Linked DNA regions of Oryzias latipes. The protein of the gene in region 5 purifies or fractionates together with the protein of the main gene of each other region. This does not show direct contact. Links are inferred from orthologs where the notes say so. Each region holds a gene or a part of one and is shown on either strand. Other genes may lie near its edges.

What was found.
Region 1: the proteins of vbp1 (region 5) and pfdn5 purify together in Homo sapiens (affinity purification with mass spectrometry; 7 studies listed by BioGRID and IntAct, counting the BioPlex papers as one, with this or other methods). This does not show direct contact. The link is inferred for Oryzias latipes from reciprocal best matches to the Homo sapiens genes VBP1 and PFDN5.
Region 2: the proteins of vbp1 (region 5) and pfdn6 purify together in Homo sapiens (affinity purification with mass spectrometry; 6 studies listed by BioGRID and IntAct, counting the BioPlex papers as one, with this or other methods). This does not show direct contact. The link is inferred for Oryzias latipes from reciprocal best matches to the Homo sapiens genes VBP1 and PFDN6.
Region 3: the proteins of vbp1 (region 5) and pfdn1 purify together in Homo sapiens (affinity purification with mass spectrometry; 4 studies listed by BioGRID and IntAct, counting the BioPlex papers as one, with this or other methods). This does not show direct contact. The link is inferred for Oryzias latipes from reciprocal best matches to the Homo sapiens genes VBP1 and PFDN1.
Region 4: the proteins of vbp1 (region 5) and pfdn2 fractionate together in Homo sapiens (co-fractionation; 8 studies listed by BioGRID and IntAct, counting the BioPlex papers as one, with this or other methods). This does not show direct contact. The link is inferred for Oryzias latipes from reciprocal best matches to the Homo sapiens genes VBP1 and PFDN2.

What each region holds. Positions count from the first base shown.
Region 1 is NC_019863.2:4,452,376-4,456,486, reverse strand, and holds the start of pfdn5 (prefoldin subunit 5), read right to left. Parts: upstream 2,801-4,111; 5' UTR 2,756-2,800; coding exon 2,666-2,755; intron 1,610-2,665; coding exon 1,507-1,609; intron 380-1,506; coding exon 348-379; intron 163-347; coding exon 88-162; intron 11-87; coding exon 1-10. UniProt on the Homo sapiens protein: Binds specifically to cytosolic chaperonin (c-CPN) and transfers target proteins to it. Binds to nascent polypeptide chain and promotes folding in an environment in which there are many competing pathways for nonnative proteins.
Region 2 is NC_019868.2:26,684,872-26,689,057, reverse strand, and holds the start of pfdn6 (prefoldin subunit 6), read right to left. Parts: upstream 2,807-4,186; 5' UTR 2,672-2,806; coding exon 2,608-2,671; intron 2,452-2,607; coding exon 2,381-2,451; intron 2,293-2,380; coding exon 2,168-2,292; intron 1-2,167. UniProt on the Homo sapiens protein: Binds specifically to cytosolic chaperonin (c-CPN) and transfers target proteins to it. Binds to nascent polypeptide chain and promotes folding in an environment in which there are many competing pathways for nonnative proteins.
Region 3 is NC_019872.2:23,090,151-23,094,156, reverse strand, and holds pfdn1 (prefoldin subunit 1), read right to left. Parts: upstream 2,806-4,006; 5' UTR 2,740-2,805; coding exon 2,641-2,739; intron 1,936-2,640; coding exon 1,769-1,935; intron 342-1,768; coding exon 257-341; intron 175-256; coding exon 91-174; 3' UTR 38-90; downstream 1-37. UniProt on the Homo sapiens protein: Binds specifically to cytosolic chaperonin (c-CPN) and transfers target proteins to it. Binds to nascent polypeptide chain and promotes folding in an environment in which there are many competing pathways for nonnative proteins.
Region 4 is NC_019876.2:18,973,792-18,977,896, forward strand, and holds the start of pfdn2 (prefoldin subunit 2), read left to right. Parts: upstream 1-1,300; 5' UTR 1,301-1,311; coding exon 1,312-1,422; intron 1,423-3,674; coding exon 3,675-3,763; intron 3,764-3,991; coding exon 3,992-4,105. UniProt on the Homo sapiens protein: Binds specifically to cytosolic chaperonin (c-CPN) and transfers target proteins to it. Binds to nascent polypeptide chain and promotes folding in an environment in which there are many competing pathways for nonnative proteins.
Region 5 is NC_019876.2:19,822,550-19,826,779, forward strand, and holds the start of vbp1 (prefoldin subunit 3), read right to left. Parts: upstream 2,802-4,230; 5' UTR 2,756-2,801; coding exon 2,675-2,755; intron 82-2,674; coding exon 1-81. UniProt on the Homo sapiens protein: Binds specifically to cytosolic chaperonin (c-CPN) and transfers target proteins to it. Binds to nascent polypeptide chain and promotes folding in an environment in which there are many competing pathways for nonnative proteins.

The DNA.
Region 1 (4,111 bases), on a different chromosome or scaffold from region 5:
CTTTCACATTCTGGGAACAGAAACAGTAAGATTTACAGTCTACTGACTGTTTATGAAGTTCAAGTTTCAAAGTGCTTCCACTTTTACCTTTTCCACATAATATCCCGTTCCCACATCCACCAACACGTGCTCCACGTCGTTTAATGTGCCGGGGACGTACATCTGTTCAGCAGCTCTGCTTAAGGTCAATAGAAACAAGCTGTTTACAGATGCACAGCAAATGAAAACGGTTTGTTGGAGTTTATCTAATTTGTGGAACTTATTATATAAATAAACCTTTTCATGACAACTATAGACTTTGTAAATGACTACAAAAGACTAAAAATAGTTAGATGGATAAAGGATACAGAACTGGTGAGGGGGACGAGTAATTCTTTTCCTGTATGGAAGAAAGAGGGAAAGTTGTTAAATTCAACCATCTGTATATATTAGACATTCTGTAGCCTCCAAGACTGAAGGACAGTCGGAGACTTGGACCTGGGACTTGAGTGACACTTCAGCCTCACATGCACTGACTTGACATTTGACGTCAAGGGCTTAAAACACGACTTGGAGCTTAGGATTTAGGATGTGTGTACGATACGTATTTGTTTATTCTTGTTATTTCGCTCCGTAACATCACTGTCACCTTGAAGCTCATCAAGAGAATGCCAAGAGTGTGCAAAGCAGGAATCAAAGCAAAAGGTGTCGTAAAATACTTTTTTCTTTGTGTTTATTTGATTATATTAAAGACTTTTAAATAAGAATGACGGTACCGTGATTTAGCTGCAGTATTAACTGTTTTCTGAAAAGTCCCGCCCCTTTAACTGTCTCCGCCAATCATTCTTGGAGTCTTAATCATACGTCATCAGTCTGACCAATCAGAAGTGGTTAAAGTCTTCACTTCCTTGTTCCATTTCTGCTCATAAAGTCTCTCAGTTCCAACAAAAATACCAGCTAAAGCTCGTCTTTAGCGGTGTAGCTTTCCACAGAATCCGGTGTCAGACCGTGGAACAAGGGAACAAAACCATGAAGCTCCAAGACGCCAGTCTGTCTGGCGTTTGCCGGCTGTTGACACTACATCTCCCATGATGCATTGGGTTAAAGTGGCAGCGTATCAGTGTACAATGAGTCTTCCTTTGACGTCTTGAAACCACAACGAACACACACCAAACAGTTTTTAAATCTTCTAACTTAACTTTTATTACATCTTTTAGAAAACCAGCTGCAGCTTCCAGCTTTTTCTGCCACAATGATCACAACAATGCATGTGAGATTGCAGAGGGGCTGTAGATCAAAACAGACTAGGAGTTTTATTTTTATTTTTGGATGCTGGTGTGCCACAGGATTTTTGTCAAGGTTAAAGTGTGCCGTGGCTCAAAAAAGGTGTGAAAACACTGATCTATGCGCACGTGGTGTGACGGTTAAAAGAGGTGCCATCCTAAGCAAAGTTAGAAGTAAAACTATAAAACATTTTTTAAAACATTAATGATCAAACAAATTACCAGTAAGGGACATTTTACATACCTTTGTTGTTTTCGGTCAGTACATTTAAACTGTCTTTTGCTTCAACATACTTGGTCTGCACAACTTTGAACTGGCCAATTGAAGAAGTCAAGAATTCAACTTCCTGGGAAAAAAAACACAGCATGAATTTCAAAAAAGCAATTAAAAAAAATTAAAAGAAACACCCCAGAGGAGTTCCATCTATGTACTCAGATACACCACCATTCACTAGTTTTAGAAAACGAATGTTTCCAGTTTTTTATTGACGCATAAGTGTGATGTTTTGTTGCATTGTGAAACAAAACTGATAGTAAAGCTGAGAAACTGAGGTTGCAAAAGCAGATCCTGGAAATGACCAAGTTATGCCAACACTCCTGCTGCCCCGTGGCCACAGTTTGCAGAAATGTTGAGCTGGCAGTTTCTTTCGGCCACCAAGCGCGGTCTGGACGGCGCTCAGCTGGAAATGATCGCACACAGGCTTTTTGGTAACGGTTTCAGTCGTGCTTTTGTGCAATTTTTCTTTCCAGCACGATTGTGTTCAATAATTTAGGTAGTTTTTCATTAACATAGTCATATCCTGAAATGCTACAACAATTTACTTCAGTGAGTGATGTTGTTATTTGATTAATTTTGTAGATGTTTAGCACTGACATCTGCCACATAGAGGTAAACTACACTAAACTGCACACCTGTGACTACTTCACCAGGATAGATTCTGTTGCATTTCTTGAATTCATTAGAATTTATAATAATTCCCAACGCCAGAATGCCTTATCAATAAGGGTATTATATGTTCTAGGGGTGTAAGAATAAACGTAGTTGAACCGAAGCGTTTCAGTACAGCAGGTTCGGTTCAGTTCACTTCTGTACCGTTAGGTACGTTTTTTCCCCCGGATGTGTGCATTGTAAAAACTCAGCTGCTTTGTCACTCATAGCGGGTGTATTGGTTGAATGACAACAATAAGCCTGATTCAAAATTTAACAAAAAAATGTAAATAATATAATGATAAGGCCAGGCAAGTTCAAACTGTGACTCATTTCTCTTAACTCTTGAAGGTCGCTACCCATCCTGTCTATGTATCAATTAAATCCTATAAAGTCTAAGGACAAATTGTAAAATAAACTATTGTCGGTTTTTTCTCTGTCAACTCAAAAACCCTTCTTTACAACCGAGCAGCACCTGAAACTCCACGCCCCTGCGGGGAAACATCATGACCCTCCGCGGCCGCTGCGCTGCTCTCATTCCCGCCTTTAGCGTAGACGCCTTCATGAAGAAGCAGCGGTCACATATTCAGTCTAAACTCACGCATTTTACCTGGTCCAGCTGGCCTTTGAGTCCTTCTAACTGCGGCAGAGAGAGGTCTGTGAGATTCACCGCCATGTTGGAAGCGTGGTGACAAAAGACGGATTCTTCTTCCGGTTGCGAGATGTACTTCCGGTTGACATATTTTCCGGTTTATTAGAACATGAAAGCTGTTTCAAAGTAAATATGATTTAAAATGAAATGCAAAAAATAAATAAATAAAAGGAAAGAAGAAAACTTCCTTTTTAAATATGTTGACTAGCTCTAGTTTATATGACTATTTTCTAACGCAGACTCTGCATAACAGTTTCTTTGATTGAAATTGAATGGGTTTTTTTCTGCAGAATATTAAAATTACGATAAGCATGAAGGTCAGTCGTAGTAAGACAGAATACATGTGTCTGAATGAGAGGGATCAAGGTAGAAGCGTTAGGTTACAGAGGGCTGAGGTGAAGAAGGTGCAGGAGTTTAAGTACTTGGGGTCAACAGTTCAGTGTGATGGGGAGTGTGGAAAAGAGGTGAAGAGGCGAGTGCAGGCAGGTTGGAGCAGTTGGAGGAAAGTGTCAGGAGTGTTGTGTGACAGAAGAGTGCCAGCAAGACTCAAAGGAAAGGTGTACAAGACAGTGGTGAGACCAGCTCTGCTCTATGGGTTAGAGACGGTAGCAGTGAGACAGAGACAAGAGGCTGAGATGGAGGTAGCGGAGATGAAGATGTTGAGGTTCTCCTTAGGAGTGACCAGGTTAGACAGGATAAGGAACGAGTACATCAGAGGGACGGCTCATGTTGCCTGTGTTAGCGACAAAGTCAGAGAAGCCAGACTGAGATGGTTTGGACATGTTCAGAGGAGGGATAGTGGATATATTGGTAGAAGGATGTTGGAGATGGAGCTGCCTGGCCGGAGGGCAAGAGGACGGCCAAAGAGGAGATACATGGATGTCTTAACAGAGGACATGAAGTTGGCTAACGTTAGGGTAGAAGATGTTCATGATAGAGTGAGGTGGAAAAGGATGATTCGCTGTGGCGACCCCTGATGGGAAAAGCCAAAAGAGAAAGAAGATTAAAATTACGATAAGAGACCATGGAAACGTACAATAATCTGGTTTTTAATTTAGTCAATTACATCTGCAGGTTGAACAACTGCCATGCAGTCTGTGGGTCAAGTATAGGGGCCCATACTTGTTCTAGTTTGCATATCAGTTACACGAAGCATTTGGCTGCATGTCATACTGTGTGTTTGTGACAAATATTTGAACTTTCTATTTTTGCTTAATATTTATTCAATATTGAAACATGCAGATTAATGACCTAGTATTTTCTAGACAA
Region 2 (4,186 bases), on a different chromosome or scaffold from region 5:
TAACACCTGAAGTAACCAAAGCACGTGACCAGTATTATAAAGAGAAGTCTAAGAAAAAATACAATTTTAAAGACAGAAAAAACGCTCAATAATAATCTCCAACAGGATGAATGAGCTGCTGTAAAAACAAAAGACTTGTTTTTACAACACAGTACAGAATATCAAAGCTAATTCTTGTTTTAACTGAAGAAAGAATTACCTATAGAAAATAACAGGCAAAATACTTGTACAACATAGATATGTAAATAAATAAACAAGAACCTAAAATAGTGTGACACAATCCTCCTTTTGATTAATGCTAAAGTCATTTTTGACAGATTTAAGATACAAACTGCTTTACGATTTCAGTGTCCGACGTTAAAAGATGAAATACAAATGACACTAGGGCTGCACGATATGAGGAAAACTCGCGATATGCGATATTGGTGATTAATATTGCGATAACGATATAATTTGCGGTATATAAACAAATGTCAAACCAACCAAAAACATAATTTCCATTTCAATGCAACAGTATAAAAATCATACTCCAAATGACCCTTGTCGACGTAGGAGGCAAACATCAAACATAAAAGGGCTCATTTGATTGATCAACAGCGTAAACGGGTCCTTCCGATTGGTTAAATGCATAAAGGGATTTATTTCATTTGTTCAATATTTCAAGCTGCCATGAGTTTGTTTTAGCACACTTAACCCTTGTGCTATCTTAGATGACCCCCCCCTTACATTGACGTGTTCTCCCTACCATGACAAAGGTGGACAAAGGTGGAAAGATTTCATGTAATCCATGGACACCAGTGAAGATCACAAATTATTGAAGAAAAATTGTTCAGTGCACTGTCTAGTGGGTCTAGATGACCCAACTCCCAATGTTAAAGTGCCTAGGATAGCACAAGGGTTAAGGTAACCATTTATTGCGATTTTCGCCGTCTTTTGCGGTATGCATATTGCACAGCTTGATGTCGCGATAACGATAAATTTGCGGTATATTGTGCAGGCCTAAATGACATAATGAGACGATAAAAGCTAATAAATAGGTTAATGTCAGAATATTTATTCACAATTACTATTCATTTGTTTAAAATAAATGATAGTTTGTATTAATTGAACAAACAATTTAACAACTACAAACATAATGATATGAAATATAATATTATGGGGAAAAAACCTGTCCAAAAGTATCTCAGATGCATGGACAGCAAATATAAAACTATTTTAACTTTAAGAACATGTAAATATTATATGACATAATTAATTTAAGGCCCCAAACGGACAGCTGTGGGATCCCATTTATTTCTTTTTTGAAGGTACAACCAGCCAAGGTCAACTTTTATTTCTGCACAACCCTTTTTTCATCAGCCACTTTTCATCTTCCATTAATTTAAAAGAAACTATGAGTACAGTCTTTATTATATATTAATGTAAAAAAAAACACAAGCATATCTGTGACATGCATCTGTTTTCCCCAGCATAAAGTGTGTCACAGTAATGAAAAAAAGAAATATTTCTATTGAATGAAGCAACATAATACCTGATATAATCACTTAGCAACACTGTTAATTTAATTTTAAAGCAAAAGCTGTATTCATTTTTTTAATATATTATTTTATTTCCCCCAAAATTTGACTAATTACTCATCTGGGGCACATTGGACCCCATTTATAATGTAAAGATATAAGATAGTTTTCTGTCTGCTAAAATGTCTATATGTTTAAATACTACAATTATGGGTTTCAGGTCAAAAATTAAGCCTTCACCTTTCAACTGTCAGTCTTAGGATATAAGATTGTATCAGTAGAAATTGAATATTAAAAGGTTCAAGGTATGGCGTAAATTTAAGGCAAATTATGTGATTCTATATTCTATAAAGACAGCTTAAATCAGGTGTTCTCGTCGTGCATTTTGTTTCTCTATTTATTCAAGGTAGAACTCAGAATTTGTGGTCAAAATTTTACCATGGCGACGAAATATGTTCAAGTCTATCCTGAATTTTCAGAACTACCCATAAAAACTAGATTTCCAGCTTCTGTGGCTGATATTTCATTACAAATAAATGACTATAAACGTCTCTGCTTATAGTAAGTGCTATATATTATAAACTAAAGCTTGAAAATATCATTTTAACTAGGGCATCCCATACATTTTCTTTTGTATTTCTTTTCCTTACATTTCTCCATTGATGTACTCCAGTCTTTTTGTGACCGTGGCCTTGGCTTCATCCAAGTCTTGCTTCACTAAAACTGGACCGATAAGCTTGTAAATGGTGTTAGAACTGTCCAGCAGATCGAGCTCCTGGAAATATACAGGTCACATCTTCAGTCAAACTGAACATAAAGATATCTAATGGACAAAAACATGTTGTTAAGGGTTAGGCGTGTACCTCTTTGACTATGTTGTTTTCTGTCAGCTGCGTCTCCAGTTTCTGCCTGACGGACATACTTTTACTCACATCTGAAAAAAAAACAGACATTTGTAAGTTGTATTTCTTTTAATACGTCAAATCTCAAAGTTACTTTAAATATTTGAAACATGGGTGCAGGCATGGCTAACTAACTGCTGCCCGATGGTAACAACATCATGGCACACTAGCAGCTAACAGGTACCTACCTTTCTGCACCTGCGAATATTTTTCTAATTCCGCTTTTAATTTCTTTTGAATTGCATCTGCCATGTTTTATGACTTGTTTGTAATAACCGTGTAAACGTTAAATAAATGTATCTAGAGGTTTCAGAGCTAACAACACAGAATGGGAGAACTGCGCTAGCTAACCGGAAGGAGCGACGGATTTAGCGGAAGTTGTGAAAGATTCACTGCCATCCAGAAAATCGGAGTTTCCGCAGTCGTACAAGAGAAGAGTTTTATCAAATATTTTCTATTTCTGTCCAATGTATATCATATTAGATGAAGAAATTGCATGAAATTTGAAAAATATCTTATTTGATTAGGATTTTTTTGACTTAGTAGTTATACACACAAGTTATTACATTATTCTCATAGTCGAACAATAGAAGATAATAGATATTTTAAACTTTGAATTGCACACATAACATTTAAAAATAAAATTAATTGCTGCCACATCTCATTCAAAAAGGTATGGATAAATCTTGGTCCACCAGCTCTGATCAGTCTAAGGGGATCTCCAACATGGAAAGAGTTGATGTCCTCTCTGTATTAAATCATAATAAATCATGTAAGGGGCTAATACCTGGCATCAAGCCACTGACCTTCAAAAATCACAAGAGAAATGAAAATTGGTTTTAAAAAAAAAGTGAGACGGCAGTTGCCCAATAAAGTGGTGGACACTCAGGGACTGTGACCCTAAAACTGGGAGAAAGATTTAAGATCAACTTTATTAATCCACTTTCAAGATCAACTTTATTAATCCACGAAGGGAAATTTGAGAAAAGCGATTCTTCAACAATAGTTTTGCCTTGGTTTGCTTTACATCAATAAACAATAGAACCTTGGAAGGTTTAGTAAGTCAGATAAGTAAGTTGAGGAATAAATGTTTGTATGGACCCTTTGTGTGCGTGTGTGTGTGTTTGTTTGAACAACTTGTTCACCTCTCGGCAGATCCCGTCATTTGTCACCACAGTGGTATTTTGATTGGAAATAAATTGTAGTATTTGTAGTATCATTGTTTTAATGAAAAATCTAAAATGCAAAAGTGGTAAGTAGTAGTAGTAGTAGTTGCTGTAATGGTAGTACATTTGTATGGGTTTTTTTTTTTATTAAAAATCTAAAATACATAGCAGTTGCAGAACTAGCATCATTATTATTTGAACAAAAACCTAAAATAAACAGTAAGCCTGTGGTAGTAGTAGTAGTAGTAGTAGTAGTAGTAGTAGTAGTAGTAGTAGTAGTAGTGGTCATGGAAGTAGTATCGTTTTGATGATTCAAAATCTAAAATACTTAGTAGTCGTATCATCATGTTTTGAACGAATTTCTAAAATACACAACGAACGCTGTTACTGATGGGAAGATTTTGGTTTTAATTATGCAATGAAAAAAAATTAGACAACCACACATCACAGAAAATCAACAAAAACGTTTTAAAGACTTTCTTTTACTTATTTATTTATTTTACAGAAAATGCAACTAAGAAAACTGCCACGAATGTACAGAAAAACTGTGTAAATTTAGGAATTAATACAAATATTTTCCGTCGTGTTTTATTCCGTCAGC
Region 3 (4,006 bases), on a different chromosome or scaffold from region 5:
GTCCTCACAGACCTTTAGGAGACACTTCACACCAACACAGAGGGGTGGGAGGGGCTTTATTGGGATCACGTGGCACAGAAAAAAAACGGATTACGGAGCTCTTCTGGACAGCAGCATCTCTCTGATGTTGTCTTCAGCCTCCTTCACGCTGCGCTCCAAGTACACCTTCTTCTGCTGCAAGAGACCACAAACGGGCAGCAACAGTCAGAAACCCGCAAACATGCACTGCGAGCTGTGATGGAGCAGGCACTCGCACCTCAAGCTCCTTGATCTTCTCGTCCACGGTTTTCTGTTTGTCTGTCAGCAGGTTGTTGATCTTCTCCCTGGACTGAAGAATGAACCTGAAACAACAGTTTTCTGTCATCTATAGGATCGGCAGGGCAGATGAACCTAAAGGCAGCATTCAGACATTAACGTTTCTTTATACCATGGTCCGGGTGAATACTCGATTCTGATTGGCTGCTGGGTGTGCATTAAAGTGATAATCCACGGTGATAATGTACGCCTAAAAAAGAAGTTCCGGGCACATAGCTTAACTGTTCTGTATCACTGCACTGGCTTCTTTAAAACAAACTTCAGCCTCATCATCTGGACTAAAAGAGGTAAACTTTCTCTCTGAACTGATGCTTTATTTAACCCGTGGTGACGATCAGCATATATATTGCTTTCCTTTGCCGCAGCAGTCGAGGTCAGTGGGGCTAAGCAGCGCGTTATGTTACCGTGACACGTAACAAATAGTCGACTTTTTGTGAAGAGAAAAAAAAGAGATTGGAACCATAAAAATGTTAGAATGAAAGGCCTAAAAACTGGTTATATATTTATTTCTTTTGTAAGTAATCATGGTAGCAGCGGATTAACGGCTGTCAAAGTGGGCACAATCAGAAATTAATGCACTTTATGGAAGCAACTGCGGAGGACGGTTGCTTCCACAAAGTGCATTCATTCATTCATTTTCTTCCGTTTGTTCCCTTTCGGAGTCACGGGGCTGCCGGAGCCTATCCCGGCCACTTATGGGTGAAGGCAGAGGACACCCTGGACAGGTCGCCAGTCTGCCGCAGGGTCACAGTCACACACCCATTCACACTCACATTCACACCTATGGACAATTTAGAGTTGCCAATTAACCTATGGAGCATCTTTTTGGACGGTGGGAGGAAGCTGGAGACCCCGGAGAAAACCCATGCATGCACGAGGAGAACATGCAAACTCAATGCAGAAAGGTCCCCCATTGATGTTCTGTTTCAGGTCCCCCAGCCGGGACTTGAACCAGTGGCCTTCTTGCTCCGAGGCAAGAGTGCTATCAGCATTAACGCATAAAGTGCATTAATGCTGATAAAGCACACTTTGTTGGCCATTAACCCTTATGTAGCTCAGTGTTTGTGCAGATCAGTTGCTAAACGCACATCCTCTTCAAACTTGTGTATAAAAGTGTTGACTGGATGTGAAGTTCATAAAGTCAATCAGGTCAGACAGAATTCCTCTGTCTGGAACTCTCATGGAGCCTCAGTAGCATCAATGAGGCCAATCAAAACCTCTCCAAAAAGAAATTTATGTGAATCTGGTGGAGATCTCCTTAAAATAAATGTAAAGTTTTCAAAATAAGAGGCACATGGTTTCACAACTGCAGTAGAACCGTGTGACACTGAGATTTCCAAAGCAGAACCAGACATTTGATGGAAAAACCAGACTGGTTTCATGTTTTTCAGATGTGTCTAACTCATCTGTGTTCTTTGGTGAGTTGGCATTGATTACAGGAGAGCACACTTACATTCGGCCGACGCCCTCGTACAGGCGCGTGTTTTCCGGCAGCGAGGAGATCTCTGTGCTTGTGAGCTTGGCATGTTTCTGAACTCGAGTCAGCTGATCAATCTGGAGGTCGGCCAGCTTCACCTTCTGCTGTGTGTCAATCATCTTCAGCTGTAGCTCGGCGAATGCCTGCAGAGACAGGAAGTATCGCTCTGTTCAAAGTCGAAAAGGAAACCAGGAGAGAATCAGAGTTTCACTATTTCTCCCATCTCTTCCTTTTCTCTGGCTTGATTCAGGAAGTCAAACAGAAAAATGAAACACTGCCTCTCCTGTAAATCAGTTAACAAGCAAAGCGATCTGCTACATGAAGGTAGTCTATGAAGATATAAACCTGGACCATTTAAATGTTTGCATAAAGGAGGTAAAAAAAAAAAACGACATCTGACCTAAAATAATCCACGACACTGAAAGATGGAAAACTGGACTTTAACATTTACAAGCATGTTTGTCATAATCTGGTTTCCTCAAACCCCATCATCTTTTGTCTCAGTGTTAATACCGCAAAGGATTGTGGGATTGGAATATGGTCCACCCGATCAGAAAGGATGCTCGGCCGTTTCAAAGAGATGGGGGGGGGGGGGCAACCTCAAAACTCATTTTGCTCTAAGGGGTTCAAAGATTCGGTGCAGGTACACAATGGTCCGGTTCACATGTTTGTTACTAGTGAAGTGACCGGTCAGCCGAATTTCGTGAACCTTCCGCGTGCACCACTGAATGCGGTATGGGTCACACTAATAACTACCAGCGGTAGCTGCCTGTAACCCAATATCGGAGAGTATGCGCAACCACGTGCGTCAGACATATGATGTGTTCGGCGTCCTGTAAACTACACACCTTTTTTAGTTCCAGGTCCACGGGCGCCGCCATCTTTAGAGTAGATTTCGAGTGCGCATGCGCAAGATTGTCTTCTTCGGGCTTATTTTGTGGCAGCATCAAGTTTGCCCACAGCCCCTCCCAGTAACGATGATCTATTTAAACTCCCCGTGACCTTTTTTTTAAAAAAAATAAAAACGTTCCCAGTGGTGTTTTAGTTACAATTACGACGTTTTTTTTAACTAAAATTCCACAAGCCAAATGTCTTTAAAATGTCATGTTTATCTGAAGCGTGTTTCCAAGAACTCCTCTACATGGGCGTGGCTATTGGTGCTGATTAGCTCCGCCCTCGATTCCCCCTATCTGCAAGCTGCGTCTTGCCTGAGTGAAGACCGATAGACAGTCCCAGAAATTGTAAAAATTGTTGAATACACTTGCATAGCACTATTCACACGTCATTTTCCAAATACTTGTGGCCAGTGCAAAACTTAATTCTTGAACACCCGGACCCAGAGGAAAGGTTAAGTTTAGTGTTATGGTTACATTTAAGGTGCGTTCACACTGAACGAGATTCGTGGCAGAGGTGGCCAGTTAAGGCCCGTACACACCGGGACGAATTTCGCGCGCGATATTCGCCGATGTTTAACGCCTCATGACTAAACAAAGGGCACCAATGTGAGTGTGCACACCGACGTGAAAAAACGCCACGCTTCAAAGCGTCACTTTATAAAAAATGCCTCGGGTTCGTTTTTTTGGTTTGGCGCCACGCGGCAAAAACTATACGACTAATGAGAATGGGGCTTTTGGACACGTGTCTGGAGCTTCTGAAGTTACAGTAAAACACAACTTGGGGGCGCTCAAACACAAAACTGCCTTTCTGAGCACACATACCAGCGAAGAAGATAAGACGCCAAGTGGAATCTACACTGCCGCAAAGAAATAATGACGGACATTCTAAAATATCCCCGAAAACGCTCATGATACATTTTTAGCTCTCGTACCAGTCGATAAAACTCCCCATGTTCTTCTCTTCTCGTAACTATGGGATGTACCCAAAATCTGCGTCTTTTCCAGCGTCTTTCATCGTTTGCTGTGGTGTCATCGGTATAAAGGTATTGTACTGCAAATAATGATCCTGTGTTAATAAAACTTTGACTTGCTTTACGGCAGTTATCAGTCTTTACTCGGTGCAACACATCATTCAACAGAACAATAATTTCTTCATTGCTGGAACTGGAGCTACTGGTGCTGGAAATATTCATGTTTTCTTTGTTTGATTCTGACAAGCGCGTAAATACTTGCTCTCTTCTTCTGAGTGAAAAGCGACTTTAAGAAGCGTAAAGTTGCGCAGCGCCACCTTGTGTACAGGGGTATTTCTGTTTTACAT
Region 4 (4,105 bases), about 850 kb from region 5:
ATTTTATTTTTAAATGAAAGACTTTTTTTAAAAATACATACAGAAAAGGTTGGTTAATATTATACCAGAAGCTGTTTGCTATCACACTGTGGCAACAATCACATAGGGTCAAATTGTTATGCAGCGAAGTGATATACATTTGGTCTCTACAGGAAAAAGTTGAACATTTTAGCTGAAAATGAAAAAATAAATAAATAAAACAGTTAGACTACCCAAAGCTTTTGAAATGATCATTTCTAATTAGCAGAAACTTTTTAAAATTAGAAATGCCTTTCTTTCTTTAAATTTTATGTCATTGTAGCATGTCAGGCTGATTATTCTGTTAAAAGAAGTTAAACTGTTTTATCCTTTGATTTGTTCGAGGGAAAATGTTTACATGTTACACTTGTGTACTCTACTTGGATTTTATGGTAAAACATGTGCAAAATAATAATAATAATAATGCATTTTAGTTTCTAATTGGCCAATGCACAATCTAGTGAAACCCCGTGGTAGAAATCAATTGTTAGCTGATCAAATAAGCCTTTACTTACTTACTTACTTACTTACTAACTTACCCACTTACTTACTTACTTACTTACTTATTTACTTATTTACTTATTTACTTATTTACTTATTTACTTATTTACTTACTTACTTACTTACTTACTTACTTACTTACTTACTTACTTACTTACTTACTTACTTACTTACTTACTTACTTACTTACAGTTGTGGGGGGCAGATAGAAATTTAACTTGTTTCCCATTTTAAAAAAAAGGATCAATTTGATCTTAGTGCTGTGTCCGAATTTCCAACCTAATCACCAACTACTAAAAACGATATAGTGTCGTGGGTTTTAAAAGCAATTAGGACACCATCCTCACTATTTTTTTTCTTTTTTTAAAACGGGAAATATAACGTTACCGATTTCACGAAGTGAAAATCTGATCAATACATACTCCGTCGTAAATACAAGCAATTTACAACAACTATTTATTAATTCATTGCGTACTTGAAATAAAAAAAATATTGATTGTTTAAAAAAAAGCATTTCAACACATTGTTTTCGCAAAAAATGTTCAAAACGCAATGCATTGTCATTGATCTATGTTGGCCAATTTAATGAGCGTCGATGCACACTGGTTAATTTGCAGAGACTTCCGAGAAATTTCTTAGGAACTGGATTTTGAAATTGTAGATTCGGACAGCATTACAAAATTGCGAACGCACTGTATAGTGCACTGTGTAGTGAGTGGTAAAGGAATTTAGAGATGTATTTTTACACAGGCAGTCATGAGACTGCCTCTGCCTGTGAAAAAAAACTTTCACATGGGTCGGGTCCTTCAAGTGCACTCTATCAAGATGGCAGCCAACAGCAGCACGTTCAGCAAATCGAGCAGCAGCGCGGCTGGAAAACAGCCCGCGCAGTCAGCCGAACAGGTATCCTATTGAGTAGCGGAGTCTTTTGTCTCGGTACTCCTGAGATTGTGACATATTATTCGTATATATTCAGCAGAAAGTAACTAAACCGACGTACAGCCAGTCAGCGCTAACGTTAGCTTCCCCGTGGCCACAGAAGTGTCTTGCAGTCAGACCCATGCGAGGGGAAAGAAATTGTGAGCATGAAATTAGGTCCAATTTGTGCTATTTGCACATCATGGAATGGGATAACGTCAAAGATAAACTAAAGGTACACCATTCTGTATGTGGGTGGTGTGGCCCTCAGAATGGGTCTGACAGAGCATGATGATGCTATTTTTACTACTCAGACAGTCAACAACTATGCACAGCTCAAGGGCTACGGAAGCCTTTCATATAAGAAAAAAACTGTTTCAACACGTTGCCAAATTATTAGTATAAAGCGACGTCTTAGTGATAGACAATAACATGTAGACACACTATAGGAACAAATTAGCATAAAAATGGCAAATGTTGAAATGTATTAATCTTTATTCGATGTTTGTTGAAAAATAACATTAAAAATACATATGAACTTCAAAAAATTTTGGGGTCAAAATTAAATATTTTCATACAGGTTCAAAGAATACTGTGAATTAAGTCATATTAGGAAGTCATATTCTAAGTTATAAATTGCTCTTGATTGAAAAAAGAAAGTAAAGCTAAAAAAAATGGTACATACATTATATATAAAAAAAGTAAAACAATTTGAAATCATTAACATGGAGAAGGTTATGCATTTGGTCTGCTTAAATTGAACCAGAGTTCACTTTAAGGTCTGGGACCTTGACCCATCTTTGCAGGTGGTCTTGGTTAATTTCCAATCAGATTGAGCTCGGGTTCGCTCTAAGATTCCTCAATCTGAATACCACTGAACCTAAATGGCCACCATAGCTGACATAAACAGAGTAGGAATGTGGCTACAGATGAGCCGCGGACAAATAAGCAATTATTATCGTGTTATCAAACAGAAAAAAAGAGTTCAAGTGTTTATTTGTTAGAACGTTTATTTTAACATTGCTGAAAAGGCTACTTGCATGCTTTTCTGTATCTTGTTACGCGGCATTCGCCTGTGGCATGACTAAAAGCTATATTATAGTTTCCTTAACAGAATTCTCTAAAAACAATGCCCTAAAACCACAATGATGAGACACAGCAACTCATTGAAATGTGGTCAGATGAATGCAGGCTAATTAAAATCATTTTTAATGGGAAACACATTGTATCTCACTGCAGGCTGAAATGACACAATTCTGATTGTTTTTTGCCCCTATGCGACCTGTATCTGATCTTTTCATGACAGTCTGAACGACACAGATCCGATCTTTTCAAATGCGACCCAGGCCACTTGCGTATGTGGTCCTGAATCCGATATGTATCCGATCATTTCAAATGCGACCTCCGTCTGAACGTCCAGGCCACATGAATCCGACCCGTACGTCATTGATACGCTGCAAACATCATCATTTTTCGTTGAAGTAGGCGGGAACAAGAACATAAACATCAACCAATGGCGGACGATGCTGCTGAGACCAGTCAGTGGAAGGGAAGCGAAGTCACCGATTTGATTAATATTTGTGGTGACGGCTCTATTCAGGCCAAACTCCAGGGCTCTTTATCGCAACCATGCGGTTGCCCCTCAGAGAGGAGAGAGCGTGGCAGCCTACTCATACCCGACGTCTCGTCATCAATGCAGTTACTAGCATGCTCTGAGTTAAAGCACACACAGCACGTCTCCTTGCCACTGACCGCTTCGCAGCATGCCTTTGCCGTACCAAAGTAACAAATAAAAAGGCTTGTTCCCGACGTTCAAAACTGATAATCGAAAAAAATATAAAATTTTAATAATTTAACTGTTAAGCGGCACACGTCCACATTTCTCTTGTTTTGATCTGCCCTCGTAGTTCCTGGCCAATGACTGAAGAGATCTTTAGTCACATTGTTTTGTTTATAAGCTTTGGTCGCTAACAGAATGGGGCGCTTAACGCCAGTCTGATAAAGGCCTAACGCAAGGTTCGGAACTCGGTCCGGAACAAATTAAGCGGACTGGATCAAAAGGGACTGGGTAAAAAAAAAAACTCTCTAAAGTCACAATTTCCTTTTAAGGTTTGGTAAGTTTATTCAGCCTGAAAGCCCCTCAGTCTGAAACAGCTTACATGCTTGTGTTGGGATCAGACGGATGCGTCAAATGTCATTGGTCTGCATTGATGCCAGCTTTGCGGTGATGTTTTCAGGTGGTTGCCACCTTTCAGAGGATGCGTCAGGAACAACGCAGCATGGCGTCTAAAGCTGCAGAGCTGGAGATGGACATCAATGAGCACAGGTTAGCAGCTGATGACTTCTCCTCTGAGAGCTTTTATAATACTCACTTTTTATGTTTGATTGTTAGCAGGACAGCTAATTGGATCATGTTGGTCTGTAGTTAAATTGACCTTTTTACTTTATATACATTAAACTTAAAAAAGAAAAACATCTTGTAACTCACCTCGTCACATAACTGGTAAGTGGTAAAAGAGTAATAATTTTAATGTTTTTTTCTTTTTGTGTTCAGTTTAGTTATTGAAACTCTTAAGGAAGTGGACCCTTCTAGGAAATGCTATCGCCTGGTTGGAGGGGTTTTGGTAGAGAGGACGGTGAAAGAAGTTCTACCTGCTTTGGAAAACAA
Region 5 (4,230 bases):
CTGGTACTGTTCGTCCAGCCTCCTCAGGACGGTGTCTGCCGTCTCATTGCCTGGCTGCTTCATAAAAAAGTCGACATCCTCCTGTGAACCAGAGTTTAAAGAGAGAATTCTGACAAATTTATTTGACCATTGGCGAAGTCCAAATGTTGGACGTTTATTGATCTTTTAAAAAACAAAAAAAAAAACCCCACAAAAAAGCCATAAAGATCATGGCTTTAAACGTCAGAGTAACATTCTTTATCAATTATTTCTCCATTATTAGAGGTGTTTTTTTCCCTTAAGTTGATTGGAAATTTTTTCAAACACCAATGCAATTTAGGAACTTAACAATAATATATATCTTAAAAAAAGCTTGGGGAGAATTAACACGAAAAACAAAATACAAACTTAAGACGATAACATATACTACGACTTGGGAGGTTTACACATAAAAATATTGAAAAAGTATAGTTTAATAATAATCATAGTAATAGCAATATTAAATGTATTAAACTACTATAAGCTAAATTTGATTTAATAGGCTCCGTGCACGAAAGTAAGGAGTTCTACTTCCGCCGCCTTGAGTGTGAGGCCGACCATTTCCGGCTTGCGACTTCTATAGCAGCGACACGGCAGATTTTGATTGCGAAAGATGGCATATTTCACCCGTTTTCTACAAGGTCTCCCGAAAATCGACGTGAACGACATCTACAGGATTGTCGACCAGTGCATGGTTACATGGGCAAAATATCGTGTCTAAAATATATAGTGTCGAAAATACCGAAAGGAAATGCGTCCCGTTAGACAAACCTGTGCTGTCACATATTTATGCAGCAGCTCGGTAATATACGAGGCGATCTTCCAAACGTGCTTTTATTAAATTTTATGAATATTATGAAGTGCCTGTTCGCTCATCATTTTATATTTAATCCTTGTTGTCAGTGCTTTTTTTGTGGAAGAAGAACAGAACTGAAGAACAACCCAGTGTTAGGATAGGCTAACAACACGGGCTAACAACATTAGCCTTTTGATGGAGACAAAATCCAGGACAAACCATGTGGGAACCGCTGCAATCTGCATCCTGGCTGCACGTAAATGATCAGCCTTTATTTGTCTGGGCACAATTAGAAACACAATTCCATGTGTCGTGATTTTTTTGAACAGTTTCTAAGGACTGAGCGGCATTTCTGCTCTGAAAAGCTCACACACACTGTGTGCTCTGCTCTGTCCTCGCGAGTCCGGCAGCCGCTAACCCAGAGCGGCGGTTCGGCTTGCAGTCCGAATTCTCACACATAACAAAACGCACACGTAACAAAGCACCCTCCCCTCAAACACATTAATAAATCCGGCTGCTCTGCTCAGAGAGGTTCACTCGGTCCACTGGCACCGGAGCCCGAACGCAGAGCTCGGATGCTGGGTCCAGACCTCAGTGGACACGCATCCCCCCCGCATGTCCTTCGTGAGGGGTGAAAGAGAGGGGAGAGCCAGCGGGGCGAGAGCGGAGCGGCGCTTTACGCGAGGCGTCCGCAGAGCCGCTGGTCGGTCCCGCATGAGCTCACTAGCTTTCTCTCAGCGAAACACCGTCTATGCGTGACGTAACCCAGAGCAGCAGTGACACACGATCGGAATGACCGTTTACATGAACAACGATCGGTATATCCAGCTATCTCGATCGGAAAGAAATTTCGATCCGAACGAGTCTGACCGGGGCAAAGTATTCTGATCGGCGTGTTTACATGACGCATTTTCTTTCCGATTGCTGCAAATACGAAACACGACTCGTCTTGCTTGGGGTGAAGTCCTCCCGCCGTGTTCACCATCCATTCGGCTCTCGCCGACACATATACTGGAAAGCTAAGAAAGCTTATATTAGTACTGTTGTACTTTGACAAATTCGAACACGGGTACACAACAATGTTGTGATGTCTTTTTCACGCGTTGAAACAACAAACGCCTTTCTTTTACCCGAAATCCGCTCCTATTTACTCAAAACTAGCAACTCAACAAAACTCCACACAACAATAACACGACCAACAGGAAGTTGTCGGCCTCACACTCGAAACACGGAAGTTAACCGGAAGTTCTATCGTGCACGTAGGCTATTATTGACTTAAGCTTATTGTTTTAAATATTGACTGGTTCTATTTAAACCCCCAACTATCCCTGAATATTACTTTTTTTTTTTTACAAGACTACAAAACAATAAAAAAATCTATATAAAAACTAGTCACTTCTTTCCATTTAATTGCATCGATATCAAAATGCAAACACTTACATTAGCGATTGAAACACAACACAACAAGAATGGTAAATATAAATGAAAAAAGCTCACGACATTTTAGTTATTTCCAATTATTAATCAATTGCTTGTCTAATTATGGACAATACACTTAGTCGAGAAAATGTATGAAACGTATCCGCAGGTAATATAGGGTTCGTGTTTAATATTGTTTGCGAAGAAAGAAAAAGAAAAAAGCAGAAGTTAAAAAAGCCTGCACACGCAGCCCAAAGTTTCCACCCGGCCGGTGATGACCATAAATGGAAGCTGGCAGCCGCCCAGCATGCACACAGAGCGGATAATCTGTTAGCTTCTATATGCTACCAAGCTAGCACGAGGCGCCTAGCCAATAGCTGTGACCAAAAACGTATAACAGGCACCAAATATCGATAGATAAAAAAACTAAACTTTACACACCAAAAACACTGCTTCAGGGATGCCGAGGTGCTTTTTCTTTGTCGCCTGTGAAGCATTGCTGGGATCTATGGTCGCCGCCATGTTGAAGATAGAATCCTCTTTCCTGACATTCAAGCATGCGCACAAGGCGTCTCAGAAAAGGAAGGGGATTTGCTGCCTCCATCGGTCAGAATGGATAGCTGCACTAAACCGCTGCCATGGCTTGACTGTCAGAGAAATAAAAAGTAAAAGACTAACTGCAACATAAAGAACAAACCTTTTAAATTGTTAATACACATTTCAAATCAGCGCAAAATCAGCTCATGATATATAATATATATGATATAAAAATCAACTAAACGTTTCACAAAGTTATGAGACCTAAAACATGACCAAAGAACAGGACAAAAGTCTGCACAAAATCAGTGCTTCATGTTAGTCAAAGGGAAAACAACTTTAGACTTATTTTTCCTCTCTGAAATGTGAAAATATTTTAAAAATATTCCTGAGCATAAAACATATTTGATTAGAAAAGTTTCCACAACTAATGTAATTAATCCATCTTAATCATAATGTTTGGTGATTTATATTAATAATAATAATAATAATGGATTGGATTTATCTGCGCTTTTCAAGTCACTCAAAGCGCTTACATTGTGGCCATTATTCATTCACTCCTCGTTCATACTTGGTGATGGTAAGCTACTGTTGTAGCCACAGCTGCCCTGGGGCAGACTGACAGAGGCGTGGCTGCCAGTTCGCGCCTACGGCCCCTCTGACCATCACCAGGACATTCATGCACATCCACACACCAGTGGAGCCACACTGGAGGCAAGGAGGGTGAAGTGTCTTGCCCAAGGACACAACGACAGTTGGCTGGGGGGAGCAGGGATCGAACCGCCGACCCTTCGATCATTGGACGACCCGCTCAACCACCTGAGCCACAGCCCCTCAGATTGATATCATATTGTCATTGATATCAAATGTGTCACAAAATGGGCAGGTGCCTGGTTCCAATTGCAGCAGGTTTTATTAGCACAGCTAAAAGTTCACAAATCTAAATCAGGGTCAGGCAGGCAGGGGTCGATAACGAGCATGGGGGCATCAGAGAAGAAACTGGAGTAATCAGGATCAACCTTAAAGTCAAATCCACCCCTTAACGTCTCTGCCAATGGGTAATAATTGTTTATAATCTTGAATTGCATTTCTTAAATCTCGGAGTATGGGCCATTTTATGAATTTCCATTGTTGAGCACCCAATAAGACAGGTGCCTCAGTTACCTAATATTTAACTTTACTATTATAGTAATGGCATGATTTACCTTTAAGGGATTTGTTTGTACCTTTATTATCACATTTTTCTTCCGTAAATTTTGTTTCACCTATTACTAAATTTGGTAATTTTACTTGAACACTGGAAAACAACATTTTAGTGTTTATTACATGTACTAAAGCAATTGGAATTGCTTTCTGAAATTCCTTAATTAATTCTGAAATTCCTTAATTGAAAATTCAATATCATATTTGCTTTTGAAATTGCTTAATTGAAGAATGTCTCCTTTCGATTCAAGAATAAC